Ovis aries: one gene and its partners. The protein of the gene in region 1 purifies or fractionates together with the protein of each later gene. This does not show direct contact. Links are inferred from orthologs where the notes say so. Each region holds a gene or a part of one and is shown in the gene's direction. Other genes may lie near its edges.

Evidence for each region.
Region 2: the proteins of EIF4B (region 1) and EIF3A purify together in Homo sapiens (co-immunoprecipitation; 3 studies listed by BioGRID and IntAct, with this or other methods). This does not show direct contact. The link is inferred for Ovis aries from reciprocal best matches to the Homo sapiens genes EIF4B and EIF3A.
Region 3: the proteins of EIF4B (region 1) and USP11 purify together in Homo sapiens (affinity purification with western blotting; 3 studies listed by BioGRID, with this or other methods). This does not show direct contact. The link is inferred for Ovis aries from reciprocal best matches to the Homo sapiens genes EIF4B and USP11.

The regions. Positions count from the first base shown.
Region 1 is NC_056056.1:133,403,784-133,407,435, reverse strand, and holds part of EIF4B (eukaryotic translation initiation factor 4B), read left to right. Parts: intron 1-2,524; coding exon 2,525-2,753; intron 2,754-3,652. UniProt on the Homo sapiens protein: Required for the binding of mRNA to ribosomes. Functions in close association with EIF4-F and EIF4-A. Binds near the 5'-terminal cap of mRNA in presence of EIF-4F and ATP.
Region 2 is NC_056075.1:38,780,950-38,784,601, reverse strand, and holds part of EIF3A (eukaryotic translation initiation factor 3 subunit A), read left to right. Parts: intron 1-38; coding exon 39-155; intron 156-409; coding exon 410-595; intron 596-1,192; coding exon 1,193-1,540; intron 1,541-1,946; coding exon 1,947-2,051; intron 2,052-2,130; coding exon 2,131-2,244; intron 2,245-3,574; coding exon 3,575-3,652. UniProt on the Homo sapiens protein: RNA-binding component of the eukaryotic translation initiation factor 3 (eIF-3) complex, which is required for several steps in the initiation of protein synthesis.
Region 3 is NC_056080.1:57,583,967-57,587,718, reverse strand, and holds the start of USP11 (ubiquitin carboxyl-terminal hydrolase 11), read left to right. Parts: upstream 1-987; 5' UTR 988-1,005; coding exon 1,006-1,154; intron 1,155-1,712; exon of another isoform or gene 1,713-1,812; intron 1,813-3,752.

The DNA.
Region 1 (3,652 bases):
TGTATATTGTCACCCTGCTTACTTAACTTCTATGCAGAGTACATCATGAGAAGTGCTGGGCTGGAAGAAGCACAAGCTGGAATCAAGATTGCCGGGAGAAATATCAGTAACCTCAGATATGCAGATGACACCACCCTTATTGCAGAAAGTGAAGAGGAACTTAAAAAGCCTCTTGATGAAAGTGAAAGAAGAGAGTGAAAAAGTTGGCTTAAAGCTCAGTGTTCAGAAAACTAAGATCATGGCATCTCGTCTCATCGCTTCCTGGGAAATAGATGGGAAGATGGTGGAAAAAGTGACTGACTTTATTTTTGGGGGGCTCCAAAATCACTGCAGATGATGATTGCAGCCATGAAATTAAAAGACACTCCTTGGAAGAAAAGTTATGACCAACCTAGATAGCATATTGAAAAGCAGAGACATTACTTTGCCAACAAAGGTCCATCTAGTCGAGGCCATGGTTTTTCCAGTGGTCATGTATGGATGTGAGAGTTGGACTATGAAGAAAGCTGAGTGCCGAAGAATTGATGCTCTTGAACTGTGGTGTTGGAGAAGACTCTTGAGAGTCCCTTGGACTGCAAGGAGATCCAGCCAGTCCATCCTAAAGGAGATCAGTCCTGGGTGTTCATTGGAAGGACTGATGCTAAAGCTGAAACTCCAGTACTTTGGCCACCTCATGCGAAGAGTTGACTCATTGGAAAAGACTGATGCTGGGAGGGATGAGGGGCAGGAGGAGAAGGGGACGACAGAGGATGAGATGGCTGGATGGCATCACCAACTCGATGGACATGAGTTTGAGTGAACTCCAGGAGTTGGTGATGGACAGGGAGGCCTGGCATGCTGTGATTCATGGGGTCACAAAGAGTCGGACATGACTGAGCGACTGAACTGAACTGAATGGGTTAAAAACCAAGTGTTGCTTATTTCAATGCCATTATACCAAATGGTTGCTATTCATTCATTAATGGTAAGATGTCAGTGTACCTATTGTAAAATTAATGCCCCTAACGTTATGATCACTTCATAAAACATGCGTTGTATTATAACTCTACCTCTCAAAAAATATTGTAAATGGCCACCATTTATTGTTCTGACTTCAGCAATGTCATTTTTAGAAATAATATATCTGGGAGCTTCCTAGTTGGCCTGGTGGTTGGGATTCTGGGCTTTCATGGTCCTGGCTTGGATTCAGTCCCCAACCTCAGTTGGGGAACTGAGATTCCGAATGTGACACAGCCAAAATTAAAATTTAAGTAAGGTATCTGGTCCAGAATTCTTCTCTGTAATTCGATTTAGACAGCACACCTAGAGTTAATGATCAAGTATTCAGTGTGGTAGACTATACAAGTATTGTCTCCACTTTGAAAAGTAGAGGCTCAGATGCAGTCTTCGTCGGCTACTGACTTTTGCCTTTCATGCCTTTTCCTCCCCCAATAGTTGATTTCCACCTCCACCACCCCCGACTCCTAAGATCTGCCCCCTTTCCTCCAGGGTCACTGCCATTGTCTGTTCAGACGTCGTTGCTGTGCCCATGTTACTTACATTTCCCTCTGTTTTCACATTGGCTTGGATTGTCTATGGAACCATATCTAATTAGGTTATTCTTCTTCTAAAACCCTTCTTTTGTCTCTTCATGGCCTAAAACATACCCCTTTGTACCTCTGACATAGACAAGGGCCTTCACTGCTCTGCCTCTTCATGTTCCTGGCGTTGATATGGTATCTGAAGTATAAGTGTTCAGATTATTTGTTGAGTAGGTAATGCAGTTATCAAAGGAGGAAGAAGGGGACACTGTGTACCACAGTGGGACGAGTGGTGGAGTTGCTTCAATAATGTGGATTTCATTTTCTGGTCCACCCTATATTAGGCATGTGACTTCAGTGAGTTCTTGTTTCTGACTCCAGTTGTATCCTGTCCACATTGGTTGTGGCCCCTTGACAGTTATACAGATGAAAAATGTTACCGTAAAAGTTAACGGAAACTACTAATGTAAAACCTATAGCTTTTGTATGTTTGAAATGTTTAGGATAAACAGTGATTTTTGAGAAATACAATCTCCTTGAAATATTCTGAAATCCTGACAACTTGGATCCAGGAAGAAATTAGACCCCTTTAGAAAAGTTGACATTGTGGTGTTCACTGTTGCATGCTTTGCCCTGTGAATCCCTATCAAATTTATATATTATACACAGAGATAAAGAATATAAGAGCTGGAGTCTTCCCCAGCATAGTGTTACAAGTTCTTCTTAACCTACCTACTAAAATGATTCATCTTCCAGACCACATATTTTAACAAGATACTTTCATCCAATGTCTTATCGTAATTAAAAATCCCCCCAGATAATAGTAATCATGGTAAATGATCAGTTTAATGATCTGCCTCCTTTGTTGGATTGGCTAGGCCACTGTTTAATCTGAATACTAAATAGCATTTCATAAGAGATACATCTGGCAATCTGTTTTTTAGCCATCAGCTTCTGGTGATTTCTAAAAACTATTACTTTTTTTTCTTTTTTTTTTAACTTAGGTCCCCCCCAAAGACCCAAACTGAACCTAAAGCCTCGGAGTACTCCTAAGGAAGATGATTCCTCCGCTAGCACCTCCCAGTCCAGTCGCGCAGCCTCTATCTTTGGAGGGGCAAAGCCTGTTGACACAGCTGCTAGAGAACGAGAAGTAGAAGAGCGGCTACAGAAGGAACAGGAGAAACTGCAGCGTCAGCTGGATGAGCCAAAACTAGAGCGACGGCCTCGGGAGAGGTGAGAGATCTGCAGGGACAGATTTCCCATCCGCGAAGCCCACGATTCTTAACGGGGCATTGTGTCTCTAGGACTCTTGGGAAATTTGTGTGAGTGTTACTGGTTGTCACTTACTAGCATTTAGTGCTCATGGGCCAAAGCTGCCAAGTAGCAGTGAGTGAGACAGTTTCTTTAGTCAGGGAAGAGTTGTGACCTGTCCCTCATGATTTTCAAAAGGCTTCCTGGGCCCTCACAAGCATCTGCAAATTTTGGCTGACCTTTAAGAAAAAAATTTGCCAAACCCTGCCTTAGTGTATAGAGTAAAATCCAACCAAAGTGAGGTGAATGGATTTACCTCTTCGAGTTATTGGAGATGGAATAGAAAGAATGTTTTCACTAGTACTAAGTATAGGCTGTAAATTATTTTCCAGTTATAATAATCCAATAAAACTAGGCCTGGTTTTTTGATTGATTGGCAGAATTGTGTTGTCAATAACAGAGCACAGAGTTACAGATTCTGTAGGAGAATGTTCTTAACCCCAGCCAACACTTGGTGAAGTACAGGTTTCCCCAATGTCCAGAAGTAGAGCATTCCTACAAAACTTTATAAGCCAAAATGGTGTAAATCAAAGAAACAATTATTTTAAGACACATTTTGCTAACAGATAAAAAGCTTGCTGCAAAATCAACACTGAAAGCTGTTTTCACTTTTCATCTTTTTTGTAAAAGCAGAATCCTCTTAGGATTTCTTTCCGGTAGCAGCAGCATATATGGGTCTTTTTGTAAAAGTAAAGTGGCATAAAGGTAACTTTGAAGCAAGTGATACTTATATTTGGAACCCAAGTGTGTTAAATGTCTGCCACTTTCAAATGGTTTGAGCAAGAGAGACAGGTTATACCCCCACAGATAAAGCCAACGCG
Region 2 (3,652 bases), on another chromosome or scaffold:
TGATAGCTATTATTACTAACATTGTGTTTCTTATGCAGGTGGCACAAATTTATCAGAGCATTGAGTTTTCTCGTTTGACTTCTCTGGTTCCTTTTGTTGATGCTTTCCAACTGGAACGGGCCATAGTAGATGCAGCTAGGCACTGCGACCTGCAGGTAGGTGCTACCAGGGGACACTGAGGCGGTGGAAGGCCTAAGAGGACTAAAACACACACTCGTTGCTTCTCTGCTTTTGGCACTGCTTTAAAGCTTTAATGAATTGAGACTTCTAGCTTTGATATTTGACATTCTTCAGTTGATTTTTTTTCTTAAATTCAGTTGAAATTTTAATCAAAGGTACTAATTTGTGTAAAGACTTTATATATTTGCGTGTAGATTTAACTATTGATAATACTCTTCAATTTTCATAGGTTCGTATTGACCACACTTCTCGGACCCTTAGTTTTGGATCTGATTTGAATTACGCTACTCGAGAAGATGCTCCAATTGGTCCTCATCTGCAAAGCATGCCTTCAGAACAGATAAGAAATCAGCTGACCGCTATGTCCTCAGTACTTGCGAAAGCACTTGAAGTCATTAAGCCAGCTCATATCCTGGTACGCATCTATGGGAGAAATGGATGACGGAATTATGAGGGGCCCTTTAGGTCTTTCAAAAAAAGGTTTGAAATGATGTCTCAGAGAAGGGATTTATTATATATTTTCTCTTAGTTGTGTTTGATACTTTTGATATTTTATTAAATATCTTTGTCAGATAACACAGATCGTTGAGCTGCCTTCTGTGGGTTAGAGTAACAGGTTAAGGTGATCATAGGAGTACTGTGATGAGTGATAAACCACAGGTGATGACCCTCCACATAGCGAGTACTGTGATCATGCCTTTGCCTTCTGTTTAAGTTGTTTGTGAACTCTGTATTTTCTCCTTGGCTTGAACACTTTATAGTATGCATGGTTCAGATAAAAATTGGCCTAGCAGATAAAGGTTCTTCAGCTATGTCATTGCTGTTAAAGACTTTGAATAGTTGTAGCATCATAGTATTTGGTGCTAGAAACCAGCAGTTGAATAATGTCATCTTCTCTTTTCAAATGCAAGTACATGTTAGGATAATACATTAGGAGTATGTAGCAATATTTTTGGTCTCGGATACTGTGGTATGTCACTTAAAGATATTTTTAATGCATTTGTTCTTGAAGCAAGAGAAAGAAGAACAGCATCAGTTGGCTGTTACCGCATACCTTAAAAATTCACGGAAAGAGCACCAGCGTATCTTGGCTCGCCGTCAGACAATTGAGGAAAGAAAAGAGCGGCTTGAGAGTCTGAATATTCAGCGTGAGAAAGAAGAACTGGAGCAGCGGGAAGCTGAACTCCAGAAAGTGCGGAAGGCTGAGGAAGAGAGGCTGAGACAGGAGGCAAAGGAGAGAGAGAAGGAGCGGATCTTACAGGAACATGAACAAATCAAGAAGAAAACTGTTCGTGAGCGTTTGGAGCAAATCAAGAAGACAGAACTGGGTGCCAAAGCATTCAAAGATATTGACATTGAAGTATGTGGCATATTAATGCATTAAAATTCCAGTTTTATTCAGGTCTCTTAGAAGCACAATTCTTTACCATTTATTGGTTTACTTTGGGTTTTTGGTTATTTTGTTCAGTTTGATACAGCTATTAATAGTTCATTAGTCTATGAAATAAGCATTTGTTTGTTGACTCCACAGTTTTTAGTCACTGTTGAAATGGAGTTTGGATACAGTAGAATACAGGAATAAGAAGTAGATGTTATGATTACTTTGTTTTTCCTCACAAATAAGCCTGTTTTAAAACATTTTTGTTGCCTGAATTTACCCATTGTAAGCATATGCCCTTTTGAAGTAAAGTAATTTAGGATCCATTTCTAGGAAGGAGTGGTGCTCCATATTGACTGGTATGCACTTTTATACTCTTTATTTTCAGGACCTTGAAGAATTGGATCCTGATTTCATCATGGCTAAACAGGTTGAACAACTGGAGAAAGAAAAGAAGGAACTTCAGGAACGCCTAAAGAATCAAGAAAAGAAGGTAAATGAAAGAACTGATGAACTTAAACGTGCCAAGTTAAAGGAATTTTTCTAACAACATTTGTTTTCATGATACTCAGATTGACTACTTTGAAAGAGCTAAGCGTTTGGAAGAAATCCCCTTGATAAAGAGTGCTTACGAAGAACAGAGAATTAAAGACATGGATCTGTGGGAACAACAAGAAGAAGAAAGAGTAAGGCTTTAATTTAATTGTAATATTTTTAGACTGTAAGCAAACTATAATAAAGCCAGTAATGGGAAAAGGGTTTCAAATTGATTTTTGTATTATTTTGCCAGAAATTGTATTTTAATGGCTGTATACAAACAGGTTGGTAGACATCTACAAAATAGAGATTAAATAATGAAACTTGTAAAGTACAAAGGATAGATGAACTTTATTTTTTTTTTTTGAAAACTGCTTTATGGAGATATAATTCACGAAATTAAAGTGTGCAATTGATGTTTTTAGTATATGGAATTGAGCAACAATCTGATTTTAGAACATACCCCAGAGGAAACTCCATACCCATTAGCAGTCACTCCATTTTCTCTGCACTCCTTCAGCAGCCACCTAACTCCTTTCCGTCTCTAGACTTGTCTGTGGGTATTTCTTACAGACGGAATCATATAGGCTGTGTGTGTGAGACTAAACAGCTCCTTCAGTAGTTTTATTTGTTTATGTGTACTTAAACAGTACAAAAGCAACATTCGCAAATGCTTATAGTGGCCAGATTTGTAGTAAAAACGAGTGACCTCATTTTGGTTAAAAAAGAAACCATAGGCAGGAGACAACATATATCTGTGGTGGCTGCCTCTTCTTGGTTTCATTGGATTGTTGTCATTCTGGGCCTAGTGTTAACCATCTTTTCCAGTTTTCTTAGAAGTCGCAATTTGTGTGATAATTCTTTTAACATGAAATTAGAGAAAGCTTGAGAGGATTTGCTGCTTTTTTTAGGTTAGTTTATTGAAACAAAATTAAAAAATTTTTTTTTGGCTTGTGCCTCATGGCATTTGGGATTTTAGTTTACTGATCAGGGATCAAACCCATACTCCCTGGAGGGGCCAGAGAAGTCCCTCCAGTTGCTTTTGAAGAAGAAAATACAGTAATGAAGCCGTGAGGGTCTGTTGCTTTGTCACACGCGTTTTAGTTTTTCCTCCATAAGTTTTGTGGTTGTCCTTGTTCGGTCTCTACGTCCTGTCCAGCTCTTTGTGACCCCATGAACTGCAGCCCTCCGGGCTTCTCTGTCCTTGATTATCTCCAGGAGTTTGCTCAGACTCAGTGTCCATTGAGGTAGTGGTGCTATGGTACCGTCAGGTTAAAGCTGTTTCTTACAGATGCCCCAGGTCTTTTTTTATTCATCTTCTGTTCCTCATTGTCATCCTAGGGAGCTGTTGGTGTGGCAGAATGGAGGGGGCAGAGGAGATGCTTATACTTCTTCAAGCATATCTGTCAGAAATTTGGGATAAATTAATCATCAGATAATGAGCACTTTGAAATTTAACTTTGTATCATGTGTTTGCAGATTACTACGATGCAGCTGGAACGGGAAAAGGCTCTAGAACATAAGAACCGGATGTCACGAATGCTTGAGGACAGAGAT
Region 3 (3,752 bases), on another chromosome or scaffold:
ATTCCTTCATATTCTTAAGGATATCCAAAGAGCTTTTGCTTATGTCATGCAGTCTCTGGAAAATTCCATGGCACATGCAATAGAAAATGACCATGAAAAAGTCTTGTTGTGAATAGTTTTGACTTCGTGAACCTGAAAGGGTCTCCTGAACGGGTAGAAAGCCAAAAAGGACCCTAGTTTGAAAATCTCTGGCCTGGAATTTAAAGGTGGCACGTCTGGAACTGGAATTCCTGAGTTCCAACCACAACTCCACGACTTACTAGTGGGGCAAAGTGAATTAACGTTTCTGGTCCTCAACATCCCCATTGTTTCCCATAGGCAACCTGCTGCCTAAGACTACTATTTATGTGCAATAAAACACCTAAACAGGGCCAACTATTATTATCAGTGCTGTAACTCCAATAAAAATATACCTGGCCTGGGGCTGACTTGCCTTCAACACATTTGTCAAGAGGACAAATCTAGTTCACGCAAGGAAGAGGCCCGCAGGCCTGGGTAGCGCCCTGGAAGTGATGCCCTCTTTTGCATTAGTTTCTGATGGAGAAGGGTAGTGCAATGAAGGAAGGGCATCCTGGTCAGGCTTGCAAAAAGGCCGCTCCCAGGATACAGGCGCGCGGTCCTCAGCAGAGAATGGGACCGAAAGGTCCTGGAAGCTTCCCCTGAGCACGCGCCAATATGTCCTCCTTGGGGACCACTACCTCTACTTTCCACACAGTCGTTTGTCCTGACTCAACATGGCGTTAGAATCCCACAAGACACCCTGGTCCTTAGTTCCCAACTGGAGGATTTACCCCGCCCACCGGTGGCGGAAATCACCGCCCACGGGCCTATGCCCACCCAGCCCTTCGACGAGTCCGAGCGCGGGGGTCCCTTTTCAAGACCGCAGTAGCCCCCTGGCTGTATGGGGGGCTCTGCTTCCGTTTCCGGGACCAAAATCCGGAAGTGGCACTTGAGGGGCCCTTCCTAGTCCCAGCTGCGGTGGCCGCTAGAGGAGGGCAAACAGCTATGGCGGCGGTCGCAGCGAATCCCGCGGATACGGCTGCGACTGCGGTCGACGACCGAGAGCCACAGCGGGAAGCGGTGCCAGGCCTGGAGAGCCAGTGGCGCCAGATTGAGAATGGGCGAGGGCGTCCGCTGCAGGTCGGCGAAAGCTGGTAAGGCAGAGCTGAAAGCGGAGCCTCGGCTTGAGGAGACTGTGGGGAACGAGGCGGCGGAGGTCCTTGTGAGAGCCGCCCTGGGGAGGAGGAATGGCCTATGGGACTGGGAACGAGAGGGGCGGGGAAAGCCTAGTCTGAGAAAGAGGTGGGGCCTGTGCGGTGCAGCCTGATAGCGCGGCGCGATTTGGCGTGGAGAGGCAGGGGGCGGGTCATGAGAAGGGAAGGCTGCGGCGGCAGGGCCGGGCCAGCGAGGTGGACCTTGGAACTTGGGAAGGAGGGGATCTCAACAACAGAGCTGGGGAGCGTAGTCTGCGGGGCGTTACGAAGCATCTGGGGGCGGACTGTGACTACTGCACAGCGTCTGAGAACGAAGTCAATGCCGGTGACATCTGGCTGAGGAGCGGATTGGGAGCCGGGGGCGGAGCGGGTGGAGGAAGAGGGAGGGAGTCAGACCCTGCGTGGTGGAGAGAGCTGGAGCCTGGGAACGAGGCTTGTGACGAGGCCGAGGGGCGTGTCCTGAGGCGGTGGAGAGACTGCAGAGGGGAGGTGGTGCCCGTGAAGCAGAAAATGGCGCCTGCGAGTGAGCAAAGCTTGTGAAACGGCGAGGTTTTTGCCTCTGACCAAGCTCATTTTCCCAGGACGGGAGAAAGTGCAGGTGATTGGTACGGGAGGGGCCTTCGATGTTGCGTTTGTTTTCTGTTTTAGTAGTGCTTTGTTTTGTAATCAAGAAAAAACAGCTATTTTAAAAATATCAATGCGTATCTTGATAAATCGACTTGTTTAGTTGCTTTCTTTGCTAACCTCTGCTCGAAATGTACTGTTTCTGGGGTCATTTTATTTCTCGCCGAGCTGCATCTCGGTTTTTAAGTTGTGAAATACGTAAGACCTGCAAAGATTATATGAAACGTTTACGTAGGCCAGGTTGATGGACATTTTATAAAAATAGACGATCTGTACTTTTCAAAAATTTCAAGGTCGGGAAGAACTGTCCCAAATTGAAGAAATTAACGGGATTTAACGAATGCATAACTAAATGCAATGTGTGATCCTAGGTTGGATCCCGGAGCAGAAAAAATAAATTATTTAAAAATCTTTTTTTTCACCTCATAAAGTGAACTTTCTCTCTTTTACTGTAAAAGATATGAATGGGGAAATTGATAAAATGTTTACCAAAGTCTGTAGACTAGATGTTAGTACTGCTAATTTCTTGGTTTTGATCATTGTATTGTGATTGTGAAAGATAATATCTTTGTTTTTAGGACATTCATTTAGGGTTAAAGAACCGAAGTATTTAAGGTTAAAGAACCATTGTGTAAGCAAGCTTATTCTGAAGTGGTTGAAAGAATAGCATATATAAAGACGTATTTAAAAAAATAATGACGGAGTAAGTGAGTAAAAATTTAAATTTGGAGAATCTTGAATGAAGGGCACGCAGAAATTCTTTGTATTATTTTTACGACTTTTCTGAGTCTATTTCTAAGTTAATAATTTAAAGAATAATACAAAATTTGTGAATTAACCACCTAGGTTAAGATTCAAACCGTTACCTTAAGAAATTCTGTGCCGCTCCCTAATGAAAATTCCCCTCCCTGCCACAGGAAATTATTACCCTGAATTTTTGATTTCGTTATCAGTTTCCCACCATTGTATGCATCCCTGAATAGTATTTGTGGTCTAAGCTTTCATTTTATGGGAGGCTATGTGTGAAATCAGACTGGCTGCGTATCGAGTACCCTTTGCATCATATCATGTGGGTACTCAGTATCTACATGACGTCACTTGATCACTTGGTGAAGGTATTTGCTGGGTTTCTCCACTGTGCTAGTACTATTTTCCTGTTTCTATACACAGTGATTCTTTATGTTCATCCTTTCCTCAGAACGTTTCAACAGTCTTACTGCTTCATGCAGTGTAAATGCTAAAATTCTTACAGTGACTTGCAGGGCTTTACCGTTTCCAGGCTGGTGTCTGGCTGTGATCGTTTCTCCCATCTCTCTTCAGATTACCCTCCCCCCTCATTTTCTCCATCCGGCTATATTGGACTCTTGGCGTTCCTCCATCGGCGCAAGCAAGCTCTCACCTGAAAGTCTTTAGGATAGGAGTGAGGTTTGCTCCTTTTAGAGTTCTTTAATCACAGTACTAGCGAAATACATATTCCTGTTCCTGGAAAGACAAGTTGAGATTCCCCAAATCGGAAATATGAAACCAAGCAGTTTTACTTTATAGCTCTCCAGCAAGGTAAAGCCTGAGTCCATCTTGAGAGTAAACAACAACAACAGAAATATTGCTATATATATAGCCCATTTGGAGGTGTTCAGAAGGGCTTGCAGGCTTTGGTTCCTGCCCCATCTTACTTACCTTTACAGCCTTGTGACAATAGCTTTTAAAAGTATCCCACCATACCAGGTTTCCTCTTGGTGTGTTGAAAATGTTTTGGAAGTAGATAGAGTTTGTGGTTGCACAACACTGAATGTACTAAATGCCACTAAATCGTTGACTTTTAAATGGTTAATTTTATGTTATATGAATAATAAAATTATGATGTGTCAATAAAAAGTTATCCCATCAATGTTGGTTAAGCACTGAAGCCAGTTT